Linked DNA regions of Lonchura striata. The protein of the gene in region 1 purifies or fractionates together with the protein of each later gene. This does not show direct contact. Links are inferred from orthologs where the notes say so. Each region holds a gene or a part of one and is shown in the gene's direction. Other genes may lie near its edges.

Region 1 (10,247 bases):
CAGCAGAGGTGTGAAGATGAAAATACTTCCACTTTTGGGTGTTGTCTTATTGGCAGAAGATGCCCCAGTCTGGGTCTTGTCACTTTTTAGGCCATTTGGAGCAAATGTGCAAAGTTTCAGGAACATCAGGAGCTGCTTCAGCCCAGCTGCAGCCCTTTGATCAGGAGATTTTGGGATTTTGGGGACTTTTTGCTGCTTTGGGAGCAGCAGCACTCACATGGCTCCCATGGAATGCTCTGGTTTGTGGCAGCTGCTGCTTTTCCCCAGCCCCTAATTCTGTCTGGAGCAACAGAGAAATGGCCAATGAAAATTGCTGGGAAACACACCCTACAATGATTTTTTGAATGTTTGAATTTATTTAAACCTTTGCATTACTTAAGTGTAATGAAGGACGAATAGATCTTTAGAAAACATCCAGCTGAAATAACCAAACATTCAGTGTTTAACCAATTGTTCAAAAATCCAGAGATCCCAAACTAACAGTGCTGATAAACCAGATAAATAATACACAGGCACTTCTCATGCAAGAAATTAATAATTTTGATGTATTTTCATAATCTAGCAGCTGTTTGATGGGGTTTTACCTAAAGTAATTCATTTTTAGTATCCCAAGCCTTGATCCTGGCAAGCCTCTTTCTGTATTTAAGGCCAGCTTGGGTCAGGGGGGCTCTGCTGGAGGATTTGGGTCTGAATTTGTGTTTTGATCCATTACATTTGGATAAATGTTGCCAAGAAACTCCTATTACACAAAATCCTCCCCTTCCCTGGTGTTTATTTTGCATCTCTCTCTCTTTAACAACAGGTTTAATCTTAAACATCAAACTGCTGAAAGCAGTGCATGTCTCAAAGTACTTTGATGACCAGTTTTACTGGGAGGTGAGTTTCAAAATTATTTCAGATTCGCTGTGGGGGACTTCATTTAGCATCTTGATAAAGAACTCCAGATATTTGAATTAAAAATATGGGGAAATAAAGGGTTATTCCTTTTCCCAGCACATTTTGATGCACAGTCCTTGGGCACCCTTAGATGCTGATGTGAGGCTGTGAAAATAAGCTTTTAACCAGCTTTTCCACTGTTTTGAGGGGTTTTCCTGTGATGATTTGATATGTTCTGATACCAGAATGTTTGTGTTCACAGTTTCCCCACTTGTCTGTTGGATTTTGAGTGGAGGATTTCAGCTGACAGGACCAAGATAAGATTTTCCTCTTTATCACCAGAAAAACTGAACAGCTATGATGAGTTCAAAGAGCACTGAAATACCAATTCCCAGGCCCACAAAAGCCACCCCAATGGACACTCAAAAACTAAACTGTTCCAGTTATTCTTGAAAGATAGAGTGTGAATTCACAGATGCAAACTTCAGCTTTTCTGCTTTGTTTGCCTTACCTTAAAATACTTTTTTAGAAGACATGCACAAAAAAGTTGTCTGCATTCGTGGCTTATCAACCCAAGTGCTTGGAAACATTAAACTATTTTTAGCTCCAGAGTTTACAAAGCAAAATGATGGATTTGAAAGTGTCATTTCTCAAGGAGTTCTTCTTATCTAGCAAGGTACTCAGGTTTTTAAAAAAGCTGAAGTGATTCTGCTGAAGGCCTTGACAGGCCAGGATTTGATGAGTGAGCTGGAGCAGAGCCAGAACTCTGCATCCTGCCAGCCTGAGCTCCTGGAAAAATCTGGCTGGGGCTGGATGTTGGGAGGTTCTGGTGGCAAAAGTTCAGCTGTGGGTGGTGTTCCTGGAACCCCTGAGGTTTGCTGCCAAGTGTAAAACACAAACTGAGCTCAGGGCAGTGTCTGGCCCAGCACAGGGGATGGCCCTCAGTGCTGCCAGCATTTTGGAAGTGCAGGGACTCTGGGGACAGAGGATTCTCTGCTAGTGAACCCTTTTTTTAAGTGGATTGTGATCCTCAGTGTCTCTTACTTTCAAAACCAGCTGACACAGAAAACTTTGCAGCAGTAAAAGATTGCAAACGTGGCTGTTTCTCTTCCTTCAGCAGCCTGGGAGGAATGAATGGGGGAGCTCGTGACCGAGTGCTTTGCTGAGGCTCCCTGGCCTCATTCACTCCCTGCTGAGCAGATCCCTGCAGCTGCAGAGGGAGGCAGCTCCCAAGGAATGCAGGCCTGCAGAGGAAGGGCCAGTTTGCCTCGTTCCCAGCTCCCAGAGAGCCAGCAGTTCAGCAGCTGCCCAAACCTTCTGCACAAACTGTGAGTTTACTTCCCAGACACTTCCTCTTCATCACCACAGGATAAATGAAATGTTCAGGGAAGAAAAATCCCAAACCACCACAATTCTGAATTACACAAGAAAAGCCAGACACCAGCAAGTTTTGAAATTGAATAAATGGTTATATTGCCCAGATATAGGAAATATTTAATAAATATCTGTTAAAAGGTTGCTTAAATGCAGTTTTAGTAAGTCTTGGATTGTAAATAACATCATAGAAAGAGCTGGTTAAATACATCCATATTCCACTTTCCTTTTATTTGTAGCAAACATCATTTTAGAAAAGTGACTCCACTGTTGTTTGTAGCAATTTTACATTTCTCAAAAACACCACAACACTGAAGTGGACGTACAAGAGTAAAAAAAATAACCGGAATAGAGCTGGATTTAGTGCTTTCAGCTTTCCTTGATTTCTCTTCAGACACAATGGAAGGTTTACAAAATGGTTTTACAAAACTTTGGGGGATGCAGTTAAAGCCCAGGGCACTCCAGGGGGGTTCACTGCCACAAATCCTCTGTGCGGCCGAACTTGAACACCAGGCCCCTGTGGAAACACAGCAAAGGGACACCACAAATCAAATTCCTCTTGTTTAAAAATAGGGTTTCAAGAGGGATTTGTTAATCCAGTTCCTGTGCAGGCAGATCCCAGGTTATTCACACAGGTCTGCTTACAAAACAGGACTTTAGGACCAACCAGATCACAGCAAGTTTCAGGTTTTTTATCATTAAAATTAAATAGGAAACAAATAAAAGAGGACAGTCTTACCCAAAAAAGATGAATGCATTCTGGAAAAACACTGCTATTCCTGGGTACACCACTGGTTTTTCTGAGAAAAAAAAAATCCCCATAAAACTTTTTAAAGTAATTTTCAAGCATATCCCGTTTCTGACATGTCATTTCCCCTTGTGCTAATTTAGCAGAGAGGCTTTGGGAGCAATCTGCAGGATTGCAATGTAATTTGTATTCTGGGAATAACTGTTCACCCAGGGAATTATTCCCTTAGAACTGCAGCAGCTTAATTATATCCATGGAGTTCCCAGCTGGGCAAGAGCTGGTTTTGTAGAGGAAGTTTGTACTTAGATCAAATCCACCCCAATATCTGTAATAATATGGCAGAGTGGTGAGTAGGGCAAAATGTTCAAACTGGGCCTGCCTAGAAACCCTCTAAATACCAACTCTAAAATCCAGGAGTCATTAAAAACACCTTAAACATCCAACAATAGGGTCAGCTCTTACCTTTAACCACGTAGCCCCCAAAAAGGATCCACATGGAGGCAATGAGGGACCCAAAAGCCATCATGAAGCCGATGAAGAGCCAGATCCGAGCCCCTGCAATGGGATGGGGGATGTCCTGTACCCTTGGGGCACCCGGCCCCACACACCCCACACACCCCACAGACCCCAAAACAGGGGTGTGAGCCCAGCCCTGGTACCTGTCTGGCCCAGGCAGCCCTCGCTGTAGCTGTCCCCTCGCACCTGCCCGTTGGACACGGCGTTGATCCTGGGGAAAAGGGGACAGGAGGGGCTTTAAAGGGGACAGGAGGGGCACTAAAGGGGACAGAAGTGGCATTAAAGCTCTCCTCTGCACTCTCACTGCTCTGCTGGGAGCGGGGCAGGGAATTCCTTACATCAGGAAGGCGATGGTGGCGATCACCCCACAGGCGTGGTAGGAATGGTTGAAGTCTTCCACTTGAGGGTATTTCACAGCAGCATCGATGATGATCCACCAGCCTGTGAAAAACTAGAGTGGGGGGGGAAGAGCTTAAAATACAGAGCTTAAAATACAGACACAGCCTGTGAGATTGCTCTGGAAAAACACCATAAATATTTAAACAGCCGTACAGTCTCCAACCCAGACTAAACTGTGACACCATCAGTTTTGCTGTCAGTTTGGGATCAAGCTGACTGCAAAGCCAGGGGTTTGCCCACTCCAGCAGTTACTTCCTGGGTAAAACTGGGAAATTTAAACAAAAAACGGACGGAGGAAACCAGGCCAGGTTTTGTCAGCAACTCTGCTGCTACACACAGGGACAATGTATCCCTGTTCTTCCTTTCCCTGGAATTGCTGAGGAGGGAGTGGCCTCTAAAAGCATCCATTCCAACCCACCGTGGTCACTACTGAACCGTGTCCCCAAACGCCACATCCGCGTGTTTTTTAAACATTCCCAGGGCAGTGACTCCAGCATGCCTGGCCATTTCAGTGGAGAAATTCCCCCTTTTATCCAACCTAAACTCCCACTGGCACACCTTGAGGCCGTTCCCTCTCATGCTCCCACTTGGAGGAGAGCCTCCCAAACCGCTCATCGTTTTTATCTTGTGACAGAAAAGCCCCAAAGACCCCCAAAACCGCGAGCAGGGCGGGGCCGTACCAGCACCCCCGCGGCCACGGAGGCGATGGTGTTGCGCTTCTCGCCCCAGTCCACGCACTCGGAGCACCGCAGGCTCTCCAGGAACCCGGACATGGCTCTGCCTGCCGGCGACTGCGGGAGGAAACGGGAGCTCCGTCCGCGCGGGGAACCGCGGCAGCGCGGCGGGGACCCGGCGCTCCCCCGATCCGCGCACCGCACCCCGCTCCGCGCACCGCAGCCCGCTCCCGCACCCCCGCTCCGCGCACCGCAGCCCGCTCCCGCACCCCGCGATGAGCTCACCGCTCATCCCCCGCACCCCGGTCCCAGCACCCCGCGCATCTCTGGCACCCAGGTCCCTGCATCCCCCGCACCCCGCGCATCCCCCGCACCCCTGTCCCAGCACCCCGCGCATCCCCCGCACCCCTGTCCCAGCACCCCGCGCATCCCCCGCACCCCGGTCCCTGCACCCCGCGCATCTCCCGCACCCCCGATCCGCGCACCCCACCCCGCTCCCGCACCCCGCGAGGCGCTCACCGCGCATCCCCCGCACCCCTGTCCCAGCACCCCGCGCATCTCTGGCACCCCGATCCCTGCATCCCCCGCACCCCCCGCACCCCGGTCCCCGCACCCCGCGCACCCCCGCGCATCCCCCGCACCGTGCGCGCCCCCGGCCCCGCGCGCTCCCCGCGCGCTCCCCGCGCACCGTCACGGGACGCGGCGGCGGCGGCCGCGCGCATGCGCAGCGCGGGCGCGTCCCGAGGAGCGCCGGGGCGGGGCCGGCGCCCGGCGGGGGGGCGGGGCCGGCGCGTGCGCGGCGGGCGCGCGGGTTGCGTAACGGGAGGGACGTTCTGGAAGGTTCGGGGCCCGCCCTCAGTCGGCGGCGGGCGGCGGCGGCGGCGGCAGCAGCGGCTGTGTCGCGCTTCTATCGCGGTTCTGTCGGCGATCGCGGCCGGCGCAGCGGGCCCGGCGCTATGGGCGTGACTCACGAAGCGGGGCTCTCCCCTCAGGACCCGTGCGGGGGCAGCCCGGCGGGCTGGAGCCGGTGAGGCGGCGGGCCGGGGCGCGGCCGGGGCCGGGGGCAGAGGGCGGTGGCGCTGAGGGCTGCGGGGCGCTCACGGTGGGTTCTTACGGTTTTTATTTCCTCGCAGGAGCGCGCAGGTGCCGCAGGGGAACCAGCGCGGGGCGTGCCCGGCGGCGCCCAGCGGTGAGTGAGGGGCGCTGAGGGCTCGGCAGGCCCGGGGCTTCATTTCTCTGATTGTTGTCCCGGCTCCGTGACCTTGCTCCTGGCGAACAGATAAAACAGTGAAACTTCAGCTAGAGAAGCGCCTCTGACGACTCTCCCGCAACTTCAGTTTTAATCAGATTTCAGTGCGCGGGTTGGATTTGTTGCCGAGCTTCTCTTTGCGCCGAGCGCTAAATAGAAATTCCGTGTCCAAGCAAGCTGCCCTAAACTGGTTACGTAACTCTGGGCTTAAGTCTTGTGATAAGATCCCTACCCCGGGTAACCTTTGTAGCCATAAAATGGCTGCCACTCCAGGGACAGCCATTTTAATTATTAATTTAGAGACGTAAGTGCCGTGTCCTGTGCGAGTCACGGCCGCTGGATCATCTCCCGGCTTTTGCACGGAGCGTTTTTAGCAGCAGCTTGTTGAGTGCACTGCTGGATGTGTGCAGCTGTGTGCCGCGAGTTTGATAGCGAGATACAGGCAACATCTCAGCTGCCTTACAGTTACAAGGTAGTTTCGTTTTCCCTTTTGGAGTATCCAACGAGGAGGAATTGTAGCAAAAAACTTAATGTGTACTAGGCTGGAAAGTAAATGGTTATTTTCTATCATAAAAGCAATGGATCCTGTGTATTTAGGATGATAAAATACCTGGAAAATTCTTTTCAAGAATGTCAAGATTTTCCTGTTTTTTGGAGGGAAAAAAAGGTGTTGAGCAAGGAATTAAACTTAAAACCCACACAGACCTCTCTCCAAAATTCCATGCAGAACTACTCATGGTTTAAACTGAAAGTTTTATTTTTTCCCACAGCTTTGTGTTTCAGTTTTGTGGCTGACTGCAGGCGAGTGTTCAGTGTTAGTGGAAGATGGCTGGGGGTCGTTGGGGTGTTTCATTCCTTGTATTTCAGTTTTGTGGCTGACTTCAGGAGAGGGAATTGCAGTGTTCAGTGTCACTGGAAGATGGCCGGGGGTCGCTGGGGTGCTGGATTATCCCTGGCCTCACTCGCGGTTGTTGTTGCTGAGGAAGTGCCCGTGAACGCTGACCTTCCCTCTCCCCCCACAGGAACAGAGACGGGGCACTGCAGAGCGGCGGCTGAGGGCGCGCAGAAAGGGCAGACGGCCGCCGTGACCGAGTTCATGGACGACCTGAGCCTGGGCTCGCCGGGCCACGGCGACTCGTCCCGGCGCAGCTGCAGCCGCTCCTCGGGCCGCTCGTCGTGCAGCTCCCGCTCCAGCAGCAGCTCCTCCAGCCGCTCCTCGCGCAGCTGGAGCCGCTCCCGGTCCCGCTCCCGGTCCCGCTCCCGGCGGCACGGCTCCCGGCGCTCGCGGCGCCGCTCCCGCTCCTACTCGCGCAGCCGCTCGCGCTCCCGGCGCTACCGTGGCCGCTACCGGCCCCGGCGCTACCGGCCCCGCCGGCGCCGCTCCCGCTCCTGGTCCCGCGGCAGGGCCTGCTACCGGCGCTCCTACTCGCGCAGCCGCTCCCGCTCCCGGGGCCGCCGCTACTACGGCTTCGGGAGGAGCGTCTACCCCGAGGCCTACCGGGGCTGGAGGAGCCGCACGCGCTCGCGGAGCAGGTCGCCTCTGCACCTCAGTGAAAAAGGTACTTGGGGCTCTGCGAGAGCCCGCAGAGAGGCTTTGTTTGAGCCAGGCGGGTTCTCCTCGGCTTGCTTGGTTTGAAAAGCGCAAGTGAAAAAAACCTCGGTTTTTTAATAAAGATTGTTCTTCAGAACATTAATTGGCACAGGGGGGCAGGCTGTGATGAGATCGGTCCCAGATGATGAGTGCATGGATGTCAAACCTGCAGGATTTAGGCTTGAGTAGGTGCACGTGGATTTTAATGTGACGCAAAGCACTTTTTCTCTTCCTTCCTCTTCTAGACAAGAGGGAACTGCTGGAAATTGCAAAAGCCAATGCTGCCAAAGCTCTGGGAACAGACAACATTGTCTTGCCAGCGAGCCTGAAGATCTCTGCTCCTGCCAAGGAGATCAAAACTGAGAAGCAGGCGCGTGAGGAAGCCACGGAGTCAGCTGAGGTAAGTATGGAGTGTTCTCCCTGACAAGGTAAACACCTCTTAGACTTGTCTGCATGGCTGTGCTGTAGTTCAGCTGTGGAGCTTGTGCTTTATGAGCTCAAACTCCTGAACAAAAACTTGTCCAGAAACCTCGAGGCTTTGCCCTAAGCTGGCAGCAGAGGCCCTCTCTGAGGTGGCTGATCCCCTGAGTGTCCAGTAGGGACAGCTGGGGAAGGGGAGGAGACTTGTTCCTTTGACTTGTTCTCCTCATGGGATATTTCCCATGAATTCCACTAGTTTATGCCTTTCTGACCTAAAACCAGGAGTATCCTTGCCAAACCTAGTGAATAGTGTGGGATTATTTTTTTTAAGGTTAAATCTTTCTGCCTTTTTTAACTGTTAAAAGATTTTCATGTGCAACAAACTGTTTCCCAGAAATTCCATACCCAAGCACACAATGCATTTTACATACTTTATTTCTGTCTTATAGAAATCATGACTATGGTTCCAGACATGAGGAAGAAAATCTGGTGGTAATTAAGGGACTTGTGGGCTGTAGCTGCTGTGAATTGAAGGGAGGGAGAAACTGGAGCAGCTTAAAGTGAATTTTAGTTTGGTTCTGTCGTGGTGTGTTACCCTGAGGCACAGTAAATACAATACAGTAAATACAGGCAGCCACTGCCTGCCTCAGGTGCTGCTCGTGGAAAGGGACGTGAATTTGCTGAGGGTTTGACACAAACGGTGCAGGCATCCCTTTCATAAACATATGCAATATATTCCAGATGTTGAGAGAGTGCAGAAGAAGAGGCCTGCATCCCTTGCAGATAAGTTTACTGTTCTCCAAAGCCCTGCAGGATGGGTGTGCAGTGTCACCACTCTGCTGTGGCAGCTTCTGCTGTGACTTGGGTCCTCTCTGGGCTCTGCTGGGCTGGAGCTGCCTCCATTGGCACGGGAGCAGCTCGGCTGGCACTGGCACAGCTGCCCTGGGCAGAGGCTGCCAGCCCAGCCCGGGCTCTGCCCTGCCTGGGCTCTGCCCTGCCGTGCTGTGGCTTCACAGCCACTTCAGATGAAATAGGGAACAGTCCCAGAGAGCTCTGCTCTGACTCCTGCCCTGCCCCAGGGAGCCCCTCTTAAGCTGTGTCTGCTCTTCTTTAGCAACCCGGGAGTGCAGCTGAGGACGTGAGCAAGGCTGGCATGGAGAGAACAACCATCCAGAGGAGCATTTCCTTCAGCCCTAATGTGAGTGATGGAATCCCTGAGTAATGACAGGAATTTAATGTTTGCTCATGATATCCCTGCAGGAGTTGGTAGAGCACCTGGATACACCTCAGCAGTGTGTTGGAAATAAGTGTTCACCTTCAACCCGAACAATTCAAAACTAGAACTAGTTTAAAACACAGCTTATATCGAGTTTCATGTTTTAGTAATGCAAACTTAAGATTTGGGGATTTCTCCTGTGTTTTGTGCATGGGATTGATACCTAGTATAAGCATCACGAATTCCAGGAGCTGGAGAGAAAACATTTATATGATTTATATGATAAACCCCTTGTTTCCAGCACCTTTTCTTACAGGAAATGTCTTTTTTTTTCCCCAGAACACAATGGCCAAGCCTGCCCTGCAGAAGCCAGTGAGCCACGCTGTGGCTAAGGAGCCAGTGGTTTCTCCAGCCAGGGAGGAGGACAGGAAGGGAAGCCCCTATGGGCAGTGGGTTCCTGTCAAGAAGGAGGAGAAGAAAACATTCCTGAACTTCTCACCCAAAAGCTCCCTGTTCCGGGCACGCTGAGGGGAGGCACTGTCAGACTGCAGCACTGGGCACCCCTCAGCAGAGACTTGGAGATTTCTGATGGGCTTGAAGACTTGTTAATACTGAGTATTTATTTTGAGGTCTTAATTTTTGGAATCTTAGGTTTCTCTTTCAGATAGAGAGAGCACACAGATCCAGAAGCCACAGATGGGAATCTTGTGTATATTTGTAAATATTTTATATTGCTTTATTGGACTAGAACTTGCAGGTGGGTAACTTTTTCTAAACCATAGTTGCGTAGCTGTTCTTTGAACACCTGGATTTACCTTGTGCAATTGTTTACTTCAAGTGAATAAAGTTTAGTTTTGCACTGGCTGTGTCAGGTGTTAGGCCCGAGTTTCTGTGGTTATTTGTGGGTTTACCTTGCACTCCCCAGATCACTCTGGCCGTGGGTCCTGCCTCCATCACGGCCTCTTCCTTCCCCGGGTGCCCTCTGGAGTGGGGATTGTGTGGGATTTCAGCTGCCTGCCCCAGGAACCGTGGCCATTCCCAGTCACTACAGGGTTTATTTTACTGGTTTGCTTTAGATCAGCCTCCCTGAGAGGCAGGAAGGGAAAAGGGGCAGGAGAAAGTTCAGGAAAGCAAGGAGCTCTTGCATTTTGGGGGTAATTGGTAAAACTTGGGTTTTGTATAAA
Region 2 (10,227 bases), on another chromosome or scaffold:
TAAGACCACAAATGTTGTGCCAGAAATGAAACCAAAATTGTTGAAAGATGTGTTGAGAACAGTTATTCTGGTGTGGTGTATTTTGTTGCAAATGCAAACTAATGTGTTAGAAGCTGATTAGAAACTGAAGATTACCTCAGTTTCTGAGAGCTGGCACAGTAAGCACAGTTGTGTTCACAATGTGGGGGAGGGATAGGCCCACAGAGGCCAAAAGCAGCAGAATTTGTGTTGCAGCTGCTCTAAGGTGGCCTTGACCTGGGTTTGATTTTCTTTCCTCCCAGGGCTGTCGCAAAGTTATCCTCTCCACCAACATCGCGGAAACCTCCATCACCATTGCGGGCATAAAATTTGTTGTGGACACGGGCATGGTCAAAGCCAAGAAGTACAGCCCTGGTGAGGAGTTCTGAGGAGGAACAGGGCCAAGATTTGGGTCTGGGTTTGCAGAAGTTACTGGAGGCCGTAAGTGCTGCTGGAAGAGGATTTCAGACACCCTCCATGCTGTTTAAATTAACGACCCAGGTTTGGGGTGTGGGGTTTGGTGGTGTTTTTGTGAGGTTTTTTTGAGTATCAGCCATGAGGGGTTAAAAATCTGTCAAATGCCACTTCTCTTCAGGGACACAGCATGGGATGGTTCACTGTGCTTCACAGCGCTGAACCAAGTGAGCTCTGAGCTGGATTTGAATGGCAAACCCTGGGAATTCTTACTGCTAATCAATCCTCTGTGCTTTCCAAAGCTGTGCCTTGCTCAGGCAGTGGCTGAGGTGATGCTTTTCCATGCCCAGAAACTGGCCTGGAAGTGCTGGCAGTGCAGCAGGTGTCCAAGGCCCAGGCCTGGCAGCGCACGGGCAGAGCTGGGAGGCAGGAGAGCGGGATCTGCTACCGGCTCTACACAGAGGAGGACTTTGAGAAGTTTGAGGAAATGACAACACCTGAGATACAGAGGTGAGGACAGAGCCATCACACCCCTTGCCACACCTCTTTTACAGCTGGAGCTGTGGGAAGAACTGTGCAGCAAAACTGGATCTAGAGGCTGGTGGGGTGACTTGAGAAAAATGGAAGTGTGGGGACTAGACAGAAAAACTGGGAAATGTTTGCTCAGGGTGGGCAGTTGGGCACTGAGTCTCCAAACACCTAAAGCAATAGTTCTGACTGTCCTCCAGAGTTTGGACTTGCCTCTTCCTGGTTTAGGAAGTAAGGCTTCACCAGCAGCATCAGACTTGTCTCTGTCAAGCTGCAGCACAGACCTGAGATTCTATCTCAGCTTCTACAAAAAAAAGAATAAAATAAGAGAACTGTCTCAGTTGTTTATTCTGCCTATGCAGGTGTAACCTGGCTAGTGTGGTGCTTCAGCTCCTGGCCCTGAAAATTCCCAATGTGCTCACCTTTGACTTCATGTCCAAACCATCTCCTGGTAAGTGGCTACAAAGGAAGCCTTGGGGAAAAGAGCAGGGACATAAGGTGTCATAACAACACAACATAAAGGTGTGCCCTGACTGCCAGGGGAAGAGTAAATGGGGTGCTTGTTCTCTTGGGATAGAGGAGGATAAACTACATTTCTCTAAATGGAAAATACTTGTCCCTCTGGCCAGAGGAGGGAGGCAGTGATGGAACCAGCTGATCTTCACATCCCTCAGTGGGAGGCAGGAGGCCTCACAGTCCTTGTTTTGACAGATGCTATTCAAGCAGCAATTGATCAGCTGGACCTGCTGGGGGCTGTGACCCACAAGGAAGGTCAGCTTGTCCTGACCCCCTTGGGAAAGAAAATGGCAGTCTTTCCACTGGATCCAAAGTTCTCCAAGGTAAAAACTGAAAAAAAAAAACAAAAAAAACCAACCAAACAAAAACAAAACTTTTTAAATCTCATATATTCATCTCTGTACCATTGATGTTTCTCTTTCAAACTCCTTAAACAAGGTGTGAAATTTGGGGTGTTTGCAGTTCTACTGGTATATTTGCTGTACATTAATGTACATAATTTACAGCCCTTTTGCTGGCTTGCTTGTCATTTGTTGTTAAATTTAGGGAAGTTTTTTAAAAGAGACTTTCTTTACTCTGGCACCTCTGAAGGTGAACAAGACAAATTTGTGTGCAATTTTCAGGATTGTTTGGCAGGTCCATGAAATGTCTGTTGCTGTAGCTGGTTTTTCACTGTGTTTGTGCTGGTTGTGCACTGGTCAGTCTCAGGAAGGAGCCTGGCAGGTGTTAAAGGTGCTTGGTGAACCCATCAGAGGATTTACAGCTGTTCTTAGGCTCAGTTTATGAGATTGCCCTAAACAATGTTTGGTGGAGTTCCTGGACTGCCAGGGAGCAGAAAGATCTGCCCAGCTGAAGAGGATTTGGTCAGCCAAAGATGAATTTTGTTGTGTCTGCGCAGGCCATCCTCCTGTCACCCAAGTTCCACTGTGCAGAGGAGATCCTGACCATCGTGTCACTGTTATCAGTGGACAGTGTCCTCCACAACCCCCCTGCCCAGCGGGATGAGGTGCAGGCTGCCAGGAGGAAATTCATCTCCAGTGAGGGGGATCATCTGACCCTGCTCAACGTGTACAGGGCCTACAAGAATGTCAATGGGCACAAGGTGGGATGATCTGAGCTGCCTGAGCTCATGGGGTGAGGGGATTTTGGCAGAGAGCAGAGTTGACACCTGCATCTTCCATGGCTGGTGCCACAGGCATCCATCCTCCAAAGCAGAGAGAAAAGAGGGCCCATCCTTTACAACTGGGATTGGAGGAAGTTCAGTAACAAAGGTTCCTACAGAAAGCTCTGGCAAAGCTTTGTGGGGCCAGTTCTGTAATCACAGCCAGGGCTCTTCCTTTCCTGGTTCCAGCTGGAAACAGAAGGGAGTGGGAGAGTGTTGAGATTTGATGATACATATCTGGACATGTTCTGGGACAGGATTCATTGGGAAAACTTTGAGCATATTTAAAAGTAGATTTGGGTTTATCCTACTCATCAACCCCTCACTGATTTGTGAATCTGTGGACTCATGTACCCCATTCCTTGCAACATCTGACATTCTTACCTGATTTATTTTCATCACCTGCAGGATAACAAGGGCTGTTTTGCAGCTCTTGGTGGCCTTGCTGAGCAGCTCTGAGAGGGAAAAGAACCACCACCTGCTGTTTCTGAGAAGAGTGGGAGGGAATCTAGACATAGTGGAGTAAAGGGAGGTAGAAATATGACCAGGAAGGGGGTCAGCACGTTTTCTCCGAGGCAGATTGTAGAGGGGATTCTGCTTTTTGTAGTATCTAAAGGCTGTCATGCTCCTGAGGTGAAGAAATATCCCCTTCTAACTCCTGGTGTCTCTGCTGCAGGGATGGTGCAGAGAGAACTTTATCAATGGCAGGAACATGAAGCTGATGGCAGAAGTCAGAGCTCAGCTCAGGGACATTTGTATAAAGGTAACTTGCTTCCATATTTCTCTGTTTCACCTGTTGGTATTTTCCTGTTTGTCCCCAAACTTATGTTACTGTGCACCAAGTCCCAAAGAGTGAGAAAATGGGGGATTGTTTTCAGTCTCCTGTAAATAGCTGGCTAAAATTCCTGACTGTGCAGTTGCATTCTAAAATCTTAAAGCTGCAGGGCTTAGTGGGTCAAGGAGAAATGAGAACTTTTAAGAAGACTTCTCAGGGAAGGACCAAGTTTTCCTAAGGGTTTTTCCTGCTCTAGTGCAGGTGGCACTGTGCTGTCTGTGCCACAGAGTGCTGGCAGCCTGTTCTGGCTGGCTTCTCCATGGAGTCAGGCATTCAGTGTGGCAGCAGCTTCCCCTCAGTGCTGTTCCTGCTGGGCACAGCGTGGGAGCTGCCACTGAACCCCTGGCAGTCTGCAGTGACATGGGGTCTTGTGGGGTGTCATTTGTGAATGCTGGTCTGTGGCATTCCCATTCTCTGGACAGAGAGACACAATTCTGTCTCTCAGGAGAAGCACAGAGAGAAGAGAAAACAATCTTTATCTCCGCTCCTTTAATTTTCCCCACGTGGAATGTGGTGTGGAGATTGTTTATCTGAAGTGATTGCTGGGTTGGATTCTGGTGAAGGTTGTTCAGGGCCAGTGACCAGTGGATCCAGCTGTGGCTTGGGCTCTCAGCACAGAGTCACGAGTTTGTTTGTTTGTTAGTTAATAGGGAAGTAAGAACTAAGTATGTAGAATAGTGTAGTATCTTTTTAAATAGTATATTAATGTAATATAATATAGTCTTAATAAAGCAGGTCCTTCAGCCTTCTGATCTGGAGCCAGACATCATAATTTCTTCCCGTTGGGGGTTACCTGATTTCCTATAGCTGGTCAGCCTTACACTCACTTCCAGCAGGAGAGTGACGATCCATTTTGTTGGCCCTTAGTCTGGCTTAGCCTAGCATCCCCCCAAGCTGAATTCCTTAGTCCCCCAGCGTGCTCTCCCAGGAGAATCCCCCAGTCTTTCTGCAGTGGAGCAGGGCTGTGCCCCTCGAGGCTGCCCCGGCTCACTCCCGTCTCTCCCAGCTGTCGATGCCCCTCGAGTCGTGCCGCGGCGACACGGGCAGCGTGCGGCGCTGCCTGGCCCACGGGCTGTTCATGAACGCGGCCGAGCTGCGGCCGGACGGCTCCTACGGCACGGTGGACTCGCAGCAGGCGGTGGCCATCCACCCCTCCTCGGTGCTGTTCCAGGCCAAGCCGGCCTGCGTGGTGTACACCGGGCTGCTGCGCACCAGCAGGTGCTACATGCGCGACCTGTGCGTGGTGGACGCCGAGTGGCTGCACGAGGCCGCGCCCGAGTACTTCCGCAGGAAGCTCCGCATGGCCAACAACTGACCCTGGGACCAGCTGGCTTTTTCAGCTCCGCCTTGAAAGACTTATTTTTCTAAAAATTTAATGGATAGATGTATAACCGTGTTTTTTATAACCTCAAGGAACGGGATGGGTATTTATTTACATTATGTGTTTTTTCCAGAATAAAGAAGTGATGGTGAAAATCCCAATCCTGGGTGTTGTTTTGTGAGGCACAGAACAAATGATCATAGGAACAGTCCTGGTGTTTATGGTTCTCATGGGAGTGTGTTCGTTGTCAGCAGTCTGGGCTTGAAGATGTGAAGGTAGCACAGTGAATCTGTGCTTCTTGTGCAGAATGGACTCTGCCATTTACATGTGCAGTGCTCAGATTCCTGTGGGGAATTGGGAATTAAAATTCTGGTCCTTTGATGGGGTGGGACAGATGCTTTCCTTCTCCTGCCTTGCAATGAGCAGCAAATGAGCCTTCTGTGCTTCTCAATAGCGGGCACTAGTGCCAGCTTCTGACAAAGGGAAGACTTGGAGCCAGAAAACACTGCCTTAGTCACTGTTTCCTCTAAAATACTCTTTCATTTTTCTTGTTCTGAGGAGACTGCCATGCTCTGGCCTGTACACTAGCAGTCATAATTAGGAGTGGGAGGATGTCTGGGATAAAACTCGTGCATGTCTCCCACATTCCTAAAACTCTCATTGTGCCTTCACTCCTGTCTGGGTGCTGTCTGTGCCATCCCTGGTCATTCCATTGTCAGGGATCCCAGGAACCAGGTCCGCCGTTGGCACACTCCATCCTGCCAGGACCGGGACTCGAACCCGGGGTCTCACCGTGCTGGGAGTCGAACTCAGGATCTCAGCGGGACCGGGACTCGAACCCGGGATCTCACCGGAACCGGGATTCGGACCCGGGGGTCTCATTGGGGCCGGGACACGAACCCGGGGGGTCTCACCAGGACCGGGACTCGAACCCGGTGTTTCATCGGGGCCGGGACTCGAACCCGGTGTCTCACCAGGACCGGGACTCGAACCGGGTGTCTCACCGGGACCGGGACTCGAGCGCGGTACCTCATCGGGGCCGGGACTCGAACACGGTTCCTGATCGGGGCCGGGACTCGAACCCGGTGTCTCACCGGGGCCGGGACTCGAACCCGGTGTCTCATCGGGGCCGGGACTCGAATCCGGTGTCTCATCGGGACCGGGACTCGAACCCGGTACCTCATCGGGGCCGGGACTCGAACACGGTTCCTGATCGGGACCGGGACTCGAACCCGGTGTCTCACCGGGGCCGGGACTTGAACCCGGGAGTTTCACCGGGACCGGGGCTCGAACCTGGTTCCTCACCGGGACCGGGACTCGAACCCGGTCTCAAGGGGCCGGGACTCGGGCCCCCCTACCGGCCGAGCCGGGACTCGAACCCGTGGCTCGGGAGCCGCGCGGGGCGCGCCGGGGCCGGAAGCGGAGCGCGGTTCCGGGGCGGGCACTCCTCGCCGCCCGCTCCGCACGATGCTCCTCGCCCGCTCCCTGCGCGCCGCCGCCGCCGCCGCGCTGCGCCCGCCGCGGCCCGCGCCGCGCCGCCCGCTCAGCTCCGCGTTCCCCCGCGCCCTGCTGCCGCCGCCCGCCGCCGCGCCGGCCCCGGCGCGCTCGCTGTGGCAGCTGGGCGGCGGCGCGGGGCGGACGGCGCTGCTGCGGCCGCGGCGGGGCTCGGCCGGCCGCGTGTCCTGCGGCTGCGGCGGTCTGCACACCGAGGGTGAGCGGGGCCGGAGCGGGGAGGGCGCGGGGCGGACACGTGCGCTGCACCCCCTCCGAACTGGGAAGCACGTGGGGCGGCGGGGGCTTTCCCGACAGCCCTAAGACAGCTCCACCTTTCCCTAATCCCCGTTCTCACTAAACCACCTGTTTCCCTAAATTCCGGCATCGCCTAAGCCCCCTTTTCCTCTACATCCCCTTCTCTACCTCCTCTTTCCCTACTCCCCCTTCCCTAACCTCCTTTTTCGCAACTCCCTTTTCCCCAAACCCCCTTTCCCTAACTCCTTTTTTCGTTCAGACCCCCATTTTTCCAACCCCCCTTTTCCTACTCGCCCTTCCCTTAACTCCACTCCCCTTTTCCTTAACCCTCCTTTTTTTAACTCCCCTCTTCCCTTACCCTCCCTTTCCCTAGTCCCCCTTTTTCCTAGCCCCCTTTTCCTAACCCTGTTTTCCAACACCTCTTTTACCAACACCCCTTTCCCTCAACTCACCCCCCACCCCATTCCTTCATTCCCCCTCTCCATAACCCTCCCTTTCCCTAACCTCATTTTCTTTCCCACCAGGAGACAAAGCCTTTGCGCAGTTCCTGACGGACGAGATCAAGGAGGAGAAGAAGATCCAGAAGCACAAATCCCTGCCCAAGGTCTCCGGGGGCTGGGAGCTGGAGGTCCATGGCACAGAGGCCAAGCTGGTGCGGAAGATCGCGGGGGAGAAGTGAGTGGGGTCTGGGAAGGGTCCCCAGCACCCGAGGGCGGGTGGGTGACAGTGACCAGGCTTCTCCTTCTGCTCACTCCCCAAACTGTGCCCTGCAAACGCTCTTGGTTTGACCACTTTGGGCCAAAGGCGCTTTTCCCACACCGGTTTGTTACTGTGTTTTGTGTTACAAAGTTTCTCACGGGCTTCCCGTTTTAGAAATAACAGTTCAGTAAAACTTGAAAAAGTGAGAGCGCTTGGAGGGAGCAGCTTCTCCCAGGTGTGACTTTTAACTGCAATGCCTGGTTTTGTTCACACTGCGAATTCTGAATGAGGGCTTGAGAGACCCATTCTGATGGGCGTTTCTTGGGTGTGTTCAAAAGAATTGTGTCTGTTTCTTTTGCAGGATAACGGTTACATTCAACATCAATAACAGCATCCCACCCTCGGCTGAAGAAGACACACAGGAACAGCAGAAGCCTGATGAGCAGGAGGTAACGTAGCCTTGATGTGCTTTAAATGCTGGGGACACAGACCAAAGTTGGAATCTTGCCTTAGGGAACTTGGAATCTTGTCCTCGAGTGTTGAGGCTTATGTGATGTTTGGGAGCATTAAAGCACAAAATGCAGATTTTCCAGGGCTGCCTGTCCCCTGCCTGACCTCCCTCTCCCCTGCAGAAAGGCAGAGCAGGATGGGAGGGCTCTGTGAGGGGAAGTTAGAGGAATTGTGAGGCTTTCTAGCACCTTCCACTATCAAAAAGGTCTGGAGGAGAGTGGGAGAGGGAAACTTTGTACAAGGGAATGGAATGACAGGTTATGGGGGGATGGCTTTTAAGTGATAGGGAGTGGGGCTAAATTGGGTATTGGGAGAGATTGTTCCCTGTGAGGGTGGTGAGGTTGTGTCTGCTCCATCCCTGGAAGTGTCCTGGATTAGGTTGGATAGGCTTGGATCCACCTGGGATAGTGGAAGGTGTCAGGGAATACAGAACAGGGCTGTGCTGTGATTGCTTTGGCTCCTGTTCAGATTCAAGTGCTGATGCAACTGTTTTCTTATTTAGCCTGAACTTACATCAACTCCAAATTTTGTTGTGGAAGTAATAAAAGATGATACAAAACAGACCCTTGTGCTTGACTGCCATTTCCCTGAAGATGAGGTGAGTGCCCCTGTTGGATTTAACTGCTCTTTGTAATCTCTTGCTTTTCTGAATCAGCACAATATGCAGTCTCCTCTTATTTCTTTTTTCTCTTAATCACAAAAAAAAAAAAAAAGGTTTTAAGTTTGCAAGAATAGTGGGGAGGAAATGTTTATGGCATTCTTCACATCCTGCCCTGGTGTTTCTGATCAGCCCTTATTGGGCTCTTTATTGAATTACAGTAGAGAAGTAGGGATTAAAAAAAAGGAGGGAAGAAAATAAAATCGAGAGCTTTTGCTCACACTGGTATTTGTGGTTTATTTTGTAAACATTAGGAGATGTTTAACAGTCCTGGCTGTTAAAGGTGAGATGGACATGGGAAGACTCGGAAGAAGTTTTTATATATTTTTAAACCTCGAGCTGCTGATTTAAATCAGGTCCCTTCTGGCAGCACAAGCTTAGAGGTTTTCCTGAGTTCTGTGCATATCTGTGCTTGTCCTCACAGGCACATGGTGAGAGGGGAAAGCTTGTCTGGCCTTGGGACTTTTCCTGAGGGATTCCCAGCCTGGGGATGAGCTGGCTGAGCTCATTAGTGCCCAGTAATTGCAGCTAATTGCATTTGTTTTCCTGCCTCAGATTGGAAATGAAGGAGAGGAAGAAAGTGATATTTTCACAATTCGGGAGGTCAGCTTCCAGCCCACTGGAGAAGCTGACTGGAAGGACACCAACTACACCCTCAACACGGATTCCCTTGACTGGGTAGGTGCTGCTAAAGGCCACAGAGGGCACTCAGCTCACCCCACCTGGCTGTCCTCTGCTCCTGGGTTGGGAATTAAACCTGTCTGGATGTCTGAGACAGGGACTGGCCCTGCTCTGCCCCTGAGCTGGTGATTCTGCTGCAGCCTGAGGTGTTTCCTGGTCCCAGGGTTGTGCACTGCTGCTGGCGTTACCAGGAATCAGGACAGACAGGAGGAACTCCTTCCCTTCCAGATTTTATAGGTGGATTTCCCAGCAGGGAATCACGATCTGGAAATGCTTTGACACTTGTCTTTTGATCTGTGTGTTTAACAATGTGGCTTATCAGACACCATGTGTAGATAAAAGCATCTGTGTGTGGTGTCTGAAAAAATACATTGTGTCTTGGTTTTCCAGGTGTGTTGATAGAGTTGTAACACTAAAAATACACAGTAGAATCTGTCTGTTCTTATGTTCTCAATGCCAGGATTTAAAAAGCTACAATTTTTAGTTTGAGGCTGTCACGTGTTTAAAACTGAAAGTAGAAATAAGTCCTAGAGTGTATCCCCTTGAGAAGCATCCATGTTAAAATTGCTTAGTGTGCTGCAGACCATCCCACACTGATTATTCTTTTTTTCCCGTGTCTTAAGATATTAAATTAATTTAAAATGTGTATGAAAGGAAAAAGCCAAGCTCATGACTGTAACACTGAAGCCTTCCAAACAAACTTGTACATCAGATACCTTTACAAAGCATTAGTTCACCCCGGGGTAGAGGGGACAGGCAGAGCTTGGCCTGTGTCATCCTTGGCACAGCTCCCCTGATGGCTCCCACAATCTGGGGATCATCTCCAGGGTGCAGCTCATTTGCAGTTGGGTTTGGGTTTTTATTTTGTGTTCCATGGCCCTTTCTGTCCAAATGTTCCACCCAAGGTCAGGCCTGCCCTCTGTGGTGGTGCCTTAGAGGCTGCCTAGAACAGAGGCTAGACAGTGTTAAAGGAATAAAATAGGGATTTATTAAAAGGCCTTAAAGGATACACCTTGGGCAGGACAAGAGCCCAGCCAGGGCTGCACCCTAGATGGGTGATGAGTCAGGAGTTTTCACACTTTTATAAGTTTTAGTCCATTTTCATATTGGGGTTCATTGTCCAATTCTCCTGGTGA
Region 3 (11,067 bases), on another chromosome or scaffold:
AAATACTGCTAAGTTGGCCTTAGGAAATGTAAAGGATGAGTGAGCCATGGTGGGCATCAGTTCAGAAAATAAATCACTTAGTTTCAGTAAACCAGAGCTCTGTTTTACCGCTCAGGGCAGAGCAGCTGAGTCTCTATCATGGATGAAATCCTGTCAACTAAAAGCTGTTGCAGTTCATCTGTGTGAAATTATATGGGGGTGATATTGAATCTTTACATGTCCAGCCTTGGGGCAGAGAATATTATTTGGGGTGTGTGGTAGTAGACAGCAACCTTACTGCCTCTGCTAAAAAAAATACTGAGTTTATCTTAAGAACCATTCATTTTTAGTTGCCATAGAAACTACCATTAGAGCCATTTTATATCTGACTAAACCCCACATTTTCTGATATGTCTTGCTTTTTTTCTCTTTCTTTTTTTTTATCCTTTCATGTCTGATTTTAATTAAATGCAAAATGTATGACAGAGACATAACTCCTACCTGAAACTCAGATACAATTTCTTTATTTTTGTCTGTGAAATTCTCCATTTCTCCTAATATATATGTGCTCAGGTCATAATAAAAATATATATTTCTACTTCAAAATAAAGAAAAGTAATAAAGACAAACATATAAAACAAAATTCCAATTATAGGTACTGTTTTTTTCTCTTGCAGTAAAGTATCAGATTAATATTAGGATGAGATCTTTCTTCTAATAGATTCCCAACTGTTCTTCTAGTTTGCTCCTCTTCAGTTATCCCAAATGGATTCCAGGCACAAACCAGGAGTTTATATTTAGTTACCTGCATTTTAAATTAGTCAAACTGCATTTTTGTTGTGATTGTTTTCATTGATTGAGGTGTTGTTCCACTAATTCTGAAATTTTCTAGTTTGTTTTTCTTTAGTAATGATATGTTGTGACCTCACACCTGCAGGGAGAGAAAATCAATATTTTTTAAAATGTCCATTCATTTTGAGCAACTCAAGTATAAAAAGATGCTAAACTTCACCAGTGTTTCCTGACTACTGCTGATACTGCAATGACTGACACTCTAGATGTCCAATTCTCACAAATTCAGTGGGTGCTTTTGGAAATTTGAGCTCAAATGTCTCCTTTTGATTAAAATAAATATCATGGTACTCTTACCTAACTTACAGAGAGAGAGTTAATGATTAAATCATAATACTTGTAAATTATATAATAAATTCATATTTAAAATGTTGGGAAAATGCTAAGTATTTATGAATATTTTGTGTATTTTCTGTAACTCAAAATTAATTTGGGCTAATTCAGAATGAGACCTTCTATGCCAGAAGTTAATTATTATATATGCACATTTTTTATTCCTAAGATACCCTTAAAATTCCTAAAGAATTAACCTTGTTGAGAGTAAGGAATACTTTTCTGCCACTAAGCTGTTAATAGCAAAAGGATGTCCTATTCAGACCCATGAAAACAATGCTGAAGCAGGCCTTGAGAATGGCTTGGGAAACCATAACTCTGCTGTATGACATACAAGTATTCTGACAGTAAGCCTGGTGGTATCAGCTCAACAGTGCACATGGCTTTCATAGATTCATATTCTGCTTATTTACTTCCCTTTGTGGTGTTTAAATCTAAACACCTGTCCTGTAACAATGCAATCAGTGCACACATAATTGTTTTATGGGGAGGCCAGCAGTTGATAGCTTCTCCTCCAGGGTGAGCTCCTGATTTGTAGAGCAGAAAGAAGCTGCCATGGGACTTACAATGATTATTTATTCTGCAGTATCCTCAAGACCAAACCCCCTTGCTATCTGTGCAGCTTCATGTCCCTGGCACTCTTAGGCATTGTTGGAAGGAAAACCCGACCATTTGTTCTTCTCTGCTGTCTCTGCAGCAGGATGGTCCCGATGAAAGCTGCAGATGAGAGTGATCCCTGATCCCTATAGCACTTCTGCAAAGGCACCTGGCACAGCCCATCCTGCTGCACCTCCTTGCTGTACCCCAGCAGTGGTAAAAAAAAGGTCAGTGGTACAAATGGGACAGTCTCTCCTCAAAATCTTGGTGACACAAATGAGACACTCAGCTTTTCTGGTGCAATCCCAGCAGTGGGATAGGGGTTGGACCTGCAGTCCCATCCCTACAGCAGAAGTGAGGAGCTCACAGAGGGGACGGGCATGTCCCTTCTGACCCTTGTGAAGTGCTCACGTGAACATCGCTCAGCAGTCCTGCAGAGATGTGGATCAGGGCCAGAGTGAGAATGTTGGCCTGCTCTTTGAGTAAGATACATTGCTTTCCAGTTCCAGACTCATTCGGCTTATTTATAGCAAAGTAATGATAGATACTACCTCTCCTGAAATCTGGAAGTGTTCAAGTTTAAAAAATACCAAACCTGAATATTATGGAGGAGGCTTCTCTTCTCTGGAACTCTAAATAGCTCAGCTTGACAAAGAGGGAGCCTGGAGTGCAGACTTGTGCCAGCCAGCCTGTGCTCAAAGCACTAAGTGAAGTGAAGATTTTATCCAAATTCAGAGTGACTCGTGGTATCAGAAGTACACAGAAACTATGTAACAAAGTTATCCTTGAGCTTAAATTCTTTGAAATATCAAAGAGCATCCTAAAGTGGTCTTTGTGGTGCTGTTCCTTTATTTGTATGTGCATATAGCCAATACAGAGAAAGATGTGTTTAATGCAGTTAACAAGTTTAGGAGGTTTTAATCAATTTAGAAGAGGAGTTGAAAAAAGGAAAAAATAGATTAATGACAGTCTTAAGGGTAAAAATGAAATTTTAGAGACAGGTTTTTAAACAAGGGAATGCAAAGCTATCAAAAATAGGATGTAATATTAAGCTGGAAATTCAATTTCATACTTTTTCTGAAGGTAACTGAGCTCTCTGATTAGCAGCTCATATGAAAGTGGATTCAAATGAGGCAATTGAATTTATTATCACCTTTTGCACTATACTTACCTTCTCTAATACACTTTCCTGCCTTGAGGGTTAGAAGATGCATACTATTTGCAAATCATATCCTGATTAACCACCATTTTCAACCTGGCTCTGAACCACAGAGTGAACAGCTGAACCAAGATAATCAGTAGACTGACAGGCACTTATAGAGGGGAAAAAAGATGGAGCACAATGCTCACATGTATGATCCCAAAACAATTGAATACCTATAAAAAGACAACTCTGAGCAAGCGATGAATAATGCCAGCTATTTTCCTACAATAGCTCTGTCAGTAGGAGTTCTTGTAGATGCCCTTTGGATGCAGTTTTATATTACACTTAATCCAATCTAACTGTGAGCTGCAACCAAAAGATGAGGTAATATTCCCTCTTTCCCAGCACAGGCTGTTGCTACCTTTGTTGGGAACACAATTGTCTCTTTTCATTTCAGCCTGCAGTTACACGAGAGTTAACAAAACCTGAAATTTTGGCCTCTGAAAGCAAATATGCAGAATTGAGCCTATTTGCCATCTCATTTAGAATATATTTTTTTTTTCTCACATTTTTGTCTGTGGACTTTTATAAACTAAGGCATTTAAGTGGAAAAAACTATTTCTTACAGCTTAGTGTACAGGCTTTCACTATTTGGATATTTTACTGGGAGAAAAACAATAAAAGGGCATGCAGAGTGGCTCCAAGAGGATTTGGAAAGATCAAAGCCTTCAGGTCTACAAGTAAAGAAACAAAACAGTCATTGCAATTGGACTGACATAGCTAGGACATAAGTTTATATAACAAAACATACACTGCACTCCTTAACTAAGCTGAGGTCTCCTCTGATTTTGAGTACTATCCTGATTAACACAGCACTTTTTCATAGCTTATCTTTTCACTTTGTTGCCTACAACATTACTGCATTGTGAAAAATGCATATTTTATGATTAGCTTTTTGCAAATGTTACAAGAACAGTTTATGCTGATATTGAAATAAAAGTCCATTTGAAAAATCCTGCACTATTCTCAGTCTTGATTCCTCAGGCAAATTCTACATAAAATTATTTTTCGAAATATAAATATATATTTTTGCCATGTTGATACTGGCAAAAATAGGTTAATGTTTAAAAGCATTATTATATTGAAACTGGTTCTCCCATTCTTAACTAAAGTAATATATTTAAGTATTTTTGAGATAATCACATACAATACAAAGGGCTGGTAAAATAGCTCTCCTCCCCTTTGTCTTGCAGCAGGAACATCCTAATAGAAAATGGTCTGAAATGCTTTGAAGAGGAAGGTATGGGGAGTTCTGTTGGCTAACAAGATGTATGTTACAAGATCCTCAGAGAACCAACTGCTGCTTTTATGTTCAAAATGAGGATTATATCCGAATTTGCATCATTAACAGCTCAAGAGACCAAAGGAACGATATACAAGTAAATAGGCTTTTGTGTATCCATGAGAAAGAGGGACTTGAAGGCTACCTTCCTTTGTAGAACTGCTACAGTGCCTTTCCCACCTTCTTTTGCTATTAAGGGAGTTCCAGCTGCCATCATCAAATGACAGAACATCCCACGGTGTGAAAGAAGAACTGAAGGAAGACACCAGTTCATCTGCTGCCATTTGTTCCCATGGTGGGCTAAGTGTTTGAAAGGTTTGTGATTACTTCATGCGTAGTGGCTCCTGCTGTCCCCAACAAAACTTATGAGGACACTTCGCCAAGACCATGTTGTACTGCCAAGAATTCTTTATCTAATGATCACATTTCTGTTTCAAGCCCTGCTTCACCTCAGCCAGCCTCCTGAATTTTACTGGGTGAAGGATGGAACATTTTGTTTAAATAATTTAAATGTGTACAATACATAAAGCATTAATATTTTCACTGGAGTAGACCAACCCTGAAGTTGCTCCCTTGAGGCACAGTAATTCACAAAGAAGCTATTGATGACCACAAGAAAGAGGAAGACGTATTTAGCAAGTCTATCCATGGAAAGAATGAAAACACAACAAAAATGGAACAGAACAGCTTGCATAATATTTAGTCTCCTACATTGCCTACAGAATTTACTTAGTAATATGCATACAAGAATAACAATTATCATAATCTATTCTGTAAATGACTGTGCACAGTAAATCTAGCAAGTCAAACTATTAAAAAGGGCTCCAAAGTGGAAAAAACTCCTGAGCATGAAACAGCATATGGGGGTCCAAGGGCTTCACTTCATTATCACAACAAGCAAAGCAGAGGCTGATGTTTTTTCCTGCCTCTTCAAAGGCCCCACACGAGATCGTTCAAATGCTAGTGGTAATCCCTGAGGTGGTTCTGATGACTTTCATTCATATTTTATTATCTTGCCTTTTTAAACTACCTATGGATAATACTCAGATGAATATAAAACATTCAATTGCATATGACCTACTATCTGCTGTTATTTTTTAATCTGATCATTAGGATAGCAAGGCTTAGGTTGTCTTGATTTCAGCAGCTTTATTTAGCATGGCCAGAAGTGGTGACTGTCACAGCGCTTCACTTTACTCTCTAGAAGACTAGTTACTAAATCAGTTCACCATTAGGGAAGTAAGTGAACCCAAACAGATCTCAATACTTTAACAGCATCTGTATGGACTGTGAGAAATCCAGAAAAGTGGATTCTCTTTGCAAAACCAGTCAATCATTTCATTCACCAGTAATTTGTGCATTCATAGATGTGAACATGTACTTTTAACCTGTGATAAATGTAGTAGTGTAAATCACAATTGTAACCAACACTAGAAGTTCAATTAAGATCCCTTGTTTGTATGTTCCTAACTACCACCTCTAAAATGTTTGGGGTTTTTTTGATGTTTTTTTGTTTTGTTTTGTTTTGTTTTTTTGTTTTTGTTTTACCAAAGGGCTCACAATCTGCTAGTTCATTTAACCTGGAAACTTCAATAAAAACCCTTTAACCCTTTTCCGTCTTCCAGAATTAACAGCAGGAATGACACAGGATCTGCAGCTGACAAATTTATCATTTCACCAGTTGGATAACGACACCAGGAATAACCCAAGCATCTCCATATCTGAAATCTATCTAGACTGTCAGCAGGTGCGCTCCACAACATATGCCTTGTTTTGGATCTCCGATTTTTTATCTATTTTTTTGTCTATTCATATTTCTTTTCCATGGGCACTTCAGTGTGGGATTGCTAGACAGGGATGATCTGCACACAGGTCCAGGACCCAAGATGAAGTCAGTACTTTGGATGCCAATCCAAACACTGTGAAGTATTTCCAGTCATGAAACAAGAAAACTTGAGTCATGCTAAAAATAACATTTTTATTCATTGCAGTGATGTTTTTACATTATTTTAATTCAGTCTGAGATGCACAGGCTTCTTATTGTCAGCTTTTGATAAAGTAAAAAAAGCAGGTTTATTTTTGGATGTGGAACACAATGTACAAAGCAGAACATAACCTATTATGTAGAGCATTATGTGCACTGCGCTTCATATACCAGGAGATGTTTCTAAAAATCACCTGGAGTTTAAACATGGATCTGGGTAACAGAACATTCATTCAAAATTAATTTGAAGCTGTCCTGCAACCCTAACAGTTCAAAATGCACAACAAAAACAAACAACACCGAAAGAAAGAACCCCGATTGACTTGACATTAATTATCTTCACTTTGTGACGTTAAAAAAGAGTGCTCTGCGGCAGCACAGCAGAGCCGTGGCTAAATGCAGTTCGGCGTGTGCCTGTTTTGTGTCCTTGCCGCACATTTCACTGCGCTCCGGAGCCCGGCGCGCCCCTGCTTTGAAGGCGCAGCGCGGTGCTCATTTTCAGCCGACAGCCACAGGCCTCGGCTGCTGAGCACCAAGGCGCTGTGACTGCGCTGGAGCTCCCTTCCCGGAGCGCGGCGGAGCGGCACACCGGCCTGCGCCCCGCAGCGCCGACACCGACACCGACACCGACCTCACCGCCCGGCACGGTGCGGCCGGCGCAGCCCCGCCGAGCCCAGCAGCGCGGAGCAGGGCCGGGCCGGACGCGGCAGCAGCAACGCGGCCCCGCCGGGCGGGGAGCGCCCGGGGCGGGGCGGGGCGGGGCGGGGCGGGGCGGGAGGAGCGGCCCGGCGCCGCCGCCGGCGGAAGCCCCGCCGCGCCGCCGCGGAAGTGACGGCCCGCTCCGCCTCCCCGCTCCCTCCCCCTCCCGGCGGCGGCTCGGGAGCCGGGCGCGGCTGGCGGCGGCCCCGGGCGGGACCATGGCGGACGGCGTGGACCACATCGACATCTACGCCGATGTGGGCGAGGAGTTCAACCAGGTACGCGCGGCCGGCGGGCGCGGCCTCTCCGCTGCGCTCCCCTCTGCGCTCCCCTCCCTCGCCCGCCTTCGCGGCCGCGCCGCCTGCAGGGCCCTCAGCGCGGCGGCCGCAGCGCCGCCATTGTTCGGGCGCTCCCGCCGCCGCCGGGCGCGGGCCCGCGCGGGGCCGGGCGGGCGCGGCCCCCCGCCCGGGCCGCGGGTGCCGGCGGCGGCCCGGCCGGGCGGGGAGCGCGCCCGGCGCTGAGGGGCGGCTGTGCCGGCGGGCTGGGCGCGCCGGGGGCGAGCGCCTTCCTTCTTTCCTTTCCTCGCTGTTCCGTTTCTGCCAGCCTTCCTCCCTCTCTGCCTTTCTTTCTCAGGGCCGCTCCGGAGGGCTCTTCCGCGCCGGCTTGGCGGGCGGGGCCCTCCCGGATGCGGCGGGGAGAGCGGCCCCTTCCCGCCGGGGCGCAGGGGAAGCGCTGCCATTGTTCGTAGATGAATCGAAAAGCCGCCGAGCGGTGTCTGTTCCTCGGCCGCGCTTTGCGGGGGAGGCGGAACTAGTGCGGCTTTATTCTGCAGCACTGGAGAGAGTATCCAGCTTTTTGTATTTCCTTTTTTGTTTTTCTTGCTTGTTATTCCATTCTAAAAAGTGACACAAGCCTTTTTTAGAGGGTGAGTTCATATTTTGTTGAGGCAATATAGATGAAATATGAAACTTCTCTGGATTATAAGTAGTCCTCTTTTTTTCTAGGTGTGTTTGGTTTTTTTGGTTTTGTTGTGGATTTTTGGTGTTTTGTTTGTGTTTTTCCCTCATCTTTACCACACAGCCGTGTGCCAGCTTTCCTACCTAAACGCGATGGTTGTATGAGTTTTGCATGCCATCTGTCCTGTTAGCGAGTGCTGCACTTCTCCAGGTTGAGTTGCCCCAAATTGCTTTGTTCCTACCCTAGAGCATAAATAACCGGGAACAACTGCACTTTCAGGAACTTACGGGGCCCGGCTGTATGCCAGCTTGCCCTACAGAGAACTGGGAAATAAGCAATGGCTTTGGAATTCATAGGGAATATGTAACTTTCTCAGCAACTTGTAGCTTTTTTAGAAGACTATTTCTTCAGACATCGATTAATACAGTAATTCTGAGTATTAATAATCTCATAAAGGTGTACTCAGAAAGAGTGCCATACTAAAAGGAGATGATGAAAAGCACTGATTTGCTCTTATTTTGTCTGTATGTGAAGGTTTCTCCCTTACAGTTGAAGACCCACTGTATGAATTTAAACAGGAATGAACCCTAGGGCAGACACCATTCAGCAGAAGAGTACATTTTTGAGGTTCTATGATAACTTGAATTTGGTTTAATCAATTCTAAATAAAACTGAAAACAAAGGAGATTTTTCAGAGAAAAAACCCTCACTTGAATCTGGTAGTGTTTGTGTAAATTCATGTGTGCAGAAGGGCTCAGAGTAGAATAGTTATGTGCTGTAAGAGATAGTGCTGGAACAAAAGTGATGGGGATGATCTGTTTCACTCACACGGTCCTGGTCTACTTAGGTCTCAGGTAGTCATTACTGTTGATATTCTATATAACCATGGTGTTACAAATGAAGAGAGTCTTGTGATAATTTAGTTTAGCTTAATCCAGCAGGCAGGGAACCCTTTTGCTTTTTCTCTGTATTCACTCCAGTTGCTTCCCTTGTGGGTTTGCATTTCTGCAGTTTGTTGTTTCAGTTCATAAATCTTGCAAAATACAGGGCAGAAAGGTGAGAAGAGGCTACTGCCCTTTTTCCATCAGCTTAAATTTGGGGGTTTTGTTTGTTTGTTTTAGGGGGTTTTCTTCTGTGTTTTTGACTGTGGCACACACCCCCAAAAATTGCTGTTTGTTATTTTCCAGATTTAATTTCTGTGACTTTTTATTTAAAGTAATATTGTTGAACTGAGTAAGTCTGGAGACAATATAAAAGTTTTACTTTTGTAAAATTGTGAGAGATTGATGCCTCTGCACTTTGGCATTTCCTTCTGTCATATGTGAAAGAGAGTTGTATTAGTTACTGCCTCTTAATTCTGACATCATTGAGAAAAGGTGTGTAGAAACTTTTATTAACAAAGTGCTGTTCCTGATTTGAAGCTGACAGCTTAAATGGATAATACAGAATTATGTGGATGTGTTAAGATGACAGTTAAAAATGCTTTAGGAAGAAAGTGATTTCCATTATTAATTTGATTTTGTATTTTTACAATTTATGCATTTTACAAACACCATATTTGTAAAATAAATTGGTTTTATCTGTTAAATGAACTTGATTTTTGATTTTGTTGTTCTACATGAATGTGACGTACTAATATTTTTTAAATTGGAGTATAGAAACCCTTTCCACTAGTTTTGGCAGGGACTGAAAAATGTGCTGTGGAGCTTGCTGTTCTTCTCTATGCAGTACATAACTGTATTTATACCCAAGCTGGGACAAGACTTGTGTTTGCATCTGGAGTTAACCCTTCATTTAGATTTAGGACTTATTAACTGGATAAACTTCCCTTGGTTATTTTGTCTTGTTCTACACCTCAAGGTACTCATCCTTGAGGCTCTTCTGGGATTTTTTTAATGCCTTTTTCCAAGTAGGTGGAGGGTAAGGTTGTTCTGCTTGATTAGTGCTAAATGAACCATAGGTTATAAAGGTGAAATAAAGACCACAGAACCATGGGTTTACAAGCTGGCTAAGATGGATGATAGCCATAAACTGTCATGGGTTGTATTTAGTTTTGGTTACAAAACTTGATAAAAAATCTTTTGAGTGAAGATGCATCTTTCCTATTCCAGCTGAACCTCATTGTCTGTCAGTGTTGCCTCTTTTATTAACTTGTTGTTCATGAAAATAATACTTTTTGTTCTTGGGCTAACAGCATTAGTCAATTTGGCTCTGACCAATTACAGTTTTGTTTAAATTGTGGTTTCTTTTTTTTGTCTTGGAGAACTTGGTTGAGTAATTTTTCATTTTTCTTTTCTTCTAAGCCGACTTCCCCATCCAGCAGTCTTATCTATTTATTTAAAGTCTCATTTTGAGATTATAGCTCATAAATGTAGTACTTCCTGCATGCATTGCTTTTGCCCTGTTAGAAATAGGTATTGCATGGAATATTTTACCTTAAGCATCTCCTTACATGTTACACATCTTGCTCTTCAGGAGAGGCAGATCTGTGACGCTTGTTAGAACTGTTACCTGCATACAAATAGCTGGGGATGGTATTCTTTCAAGGGTCTTCTACCCTCAGTAAGTTTGGAGTGCTTTAGGAAATATTAGGGTGTGGTTTTATACACAAAACCCCAGAATATTGCTGTGTGGTACAGAGATAATAAGGAACTTGTGCAGAAGGCCAGTTTGTATCTGACTTGACGCTGCTGCCAGTTTGGCCAGCAAACTGGGTTGCTTTTTTATGGTCATGAAAATTTGACCATGTGTTACCAGTTCCCTGATGCCCTAATCAGCTTTGCATTTTCATGCTTGGAGGATTTTTTCCCCACATGTCCTCATGCATGTAGTTAAACAGTAAAAACTTTTATTATACACATGTATACATGTAAAAATCTTTCTGGTCAGAAAGAGGATGCAAAAGAATTTAAGCATATCATATTTTAATGCTGTGGAAAAGGTGCTTGCTTTGTTTATGCTCTTAATGAGTAAACTTGGGTAGTTGAATTGTGGATATGTCTAGACATGCCTGTAGTGTTCTATTTTGATTTTTAAATGCTAACAAATTAGGGATGAAAGACTTTTCACTTTGTATTTTGTAACTGGGTAATAAATCTGATTTAGATGGACTAAACAGTTAAGAGGCTAATTATCTGAAAATTACAGTATCTTAGTAATGTGTTAGTTACTGTCTTGACT

Evidence for each region.
Region 2: the proteins of RSRP1 (region 1) and C1QBP purify together in Homo sapiens (affinity purification with mass spectrometry; 3 studies listed by BioGRID and IntAct, counting the BioPlex papers as one, with this or other methods). This does not show direct contact. The link is inferred for Lonchura striata from reciprocal best matches to the Homo sapiens genes RSRP1 and C1QBP.
Region 3: the proteins of RSRP1 (region 1) and CPSF6 purify together in Homo sapiens (affinity purification with mass spectrometry; 3 studies listed by BioGRID and IntAct, with this or other methods). This does not show direct contact. The link is inferred for Lonchura striata from reciprocal best matches to the Homo sapiens genes RSRP1 and CPSF6.

Annotation. Positions count from the first base shown.
Region 1 is NC_134628.1:591,164-601,410, forward strand, and holds RSRP1 (arginine/serine-rich protein 1), read left to right. Parts: upstream 1-5,459; 5' UTR 5,460-5,543; coding exon 5,544-5,614; intron 5,615-5,720; coding exon 5,721-5,776; intron 5,777-6,858; coding exon 6,859-7,395; intron 7,396-7,672; coding exon 7,673-7,827; intron 7,828-8,961; coding exon 8,962-9,045; intron 9,046-9,402; coding exon 9,403-9,591; 3' UTR 9,592-9,927; downstream 9,928-10,247. Other genes in the region: RHCE (blood group Rh(CE) polypeptide), read left to right, coding at 803-876, 1,139-1,165; TMEM50A (transmembrane protein 50A), read right to left, coding at 2,722-2,767, 2,990-3,050, 3,461-3,553, 3,658-3,725, 3,853-3,965, 4,594-4,686.
Region 2 is NC_134622.1:4,782,163-4,792,389, forward strand, and holds the start of C1QBP (complement component 1 Q subcomponent-binding protein, mitochondrial), read left to right. Parts: upstream 1-6,261; coding exon 6,262-6,505; intron 6,506-7,067; coding exon 7,068-7,218; intron 7,219-7,603; coding exon 7,604-7,691; intron 7,692-8,254; coding exon 8,255-8,350; intron 8,351-8,965; coding exon 8,966-9,088; intron 9,089-10,227.
Region 3 is NC_134607.1:44,497,649-44,508,715, forward strand, and holds the start of CPSF6 (cleavage and polyadenylation specificity factor subunit 6), read left to right. Parts: upstream 1-7,071; 5' UTR 7,072-7,148; coding exon 7,149-7,208; intron 7,209-11,067. UniProt on the Homo sapiens protein: Component of the cleavage factor Im (CFIm) complex that functions as an activator of the pre-mRNA 3'-end cleavage and polyadenylation processing required for the maturation of pre-mRNA into functional mRNAs.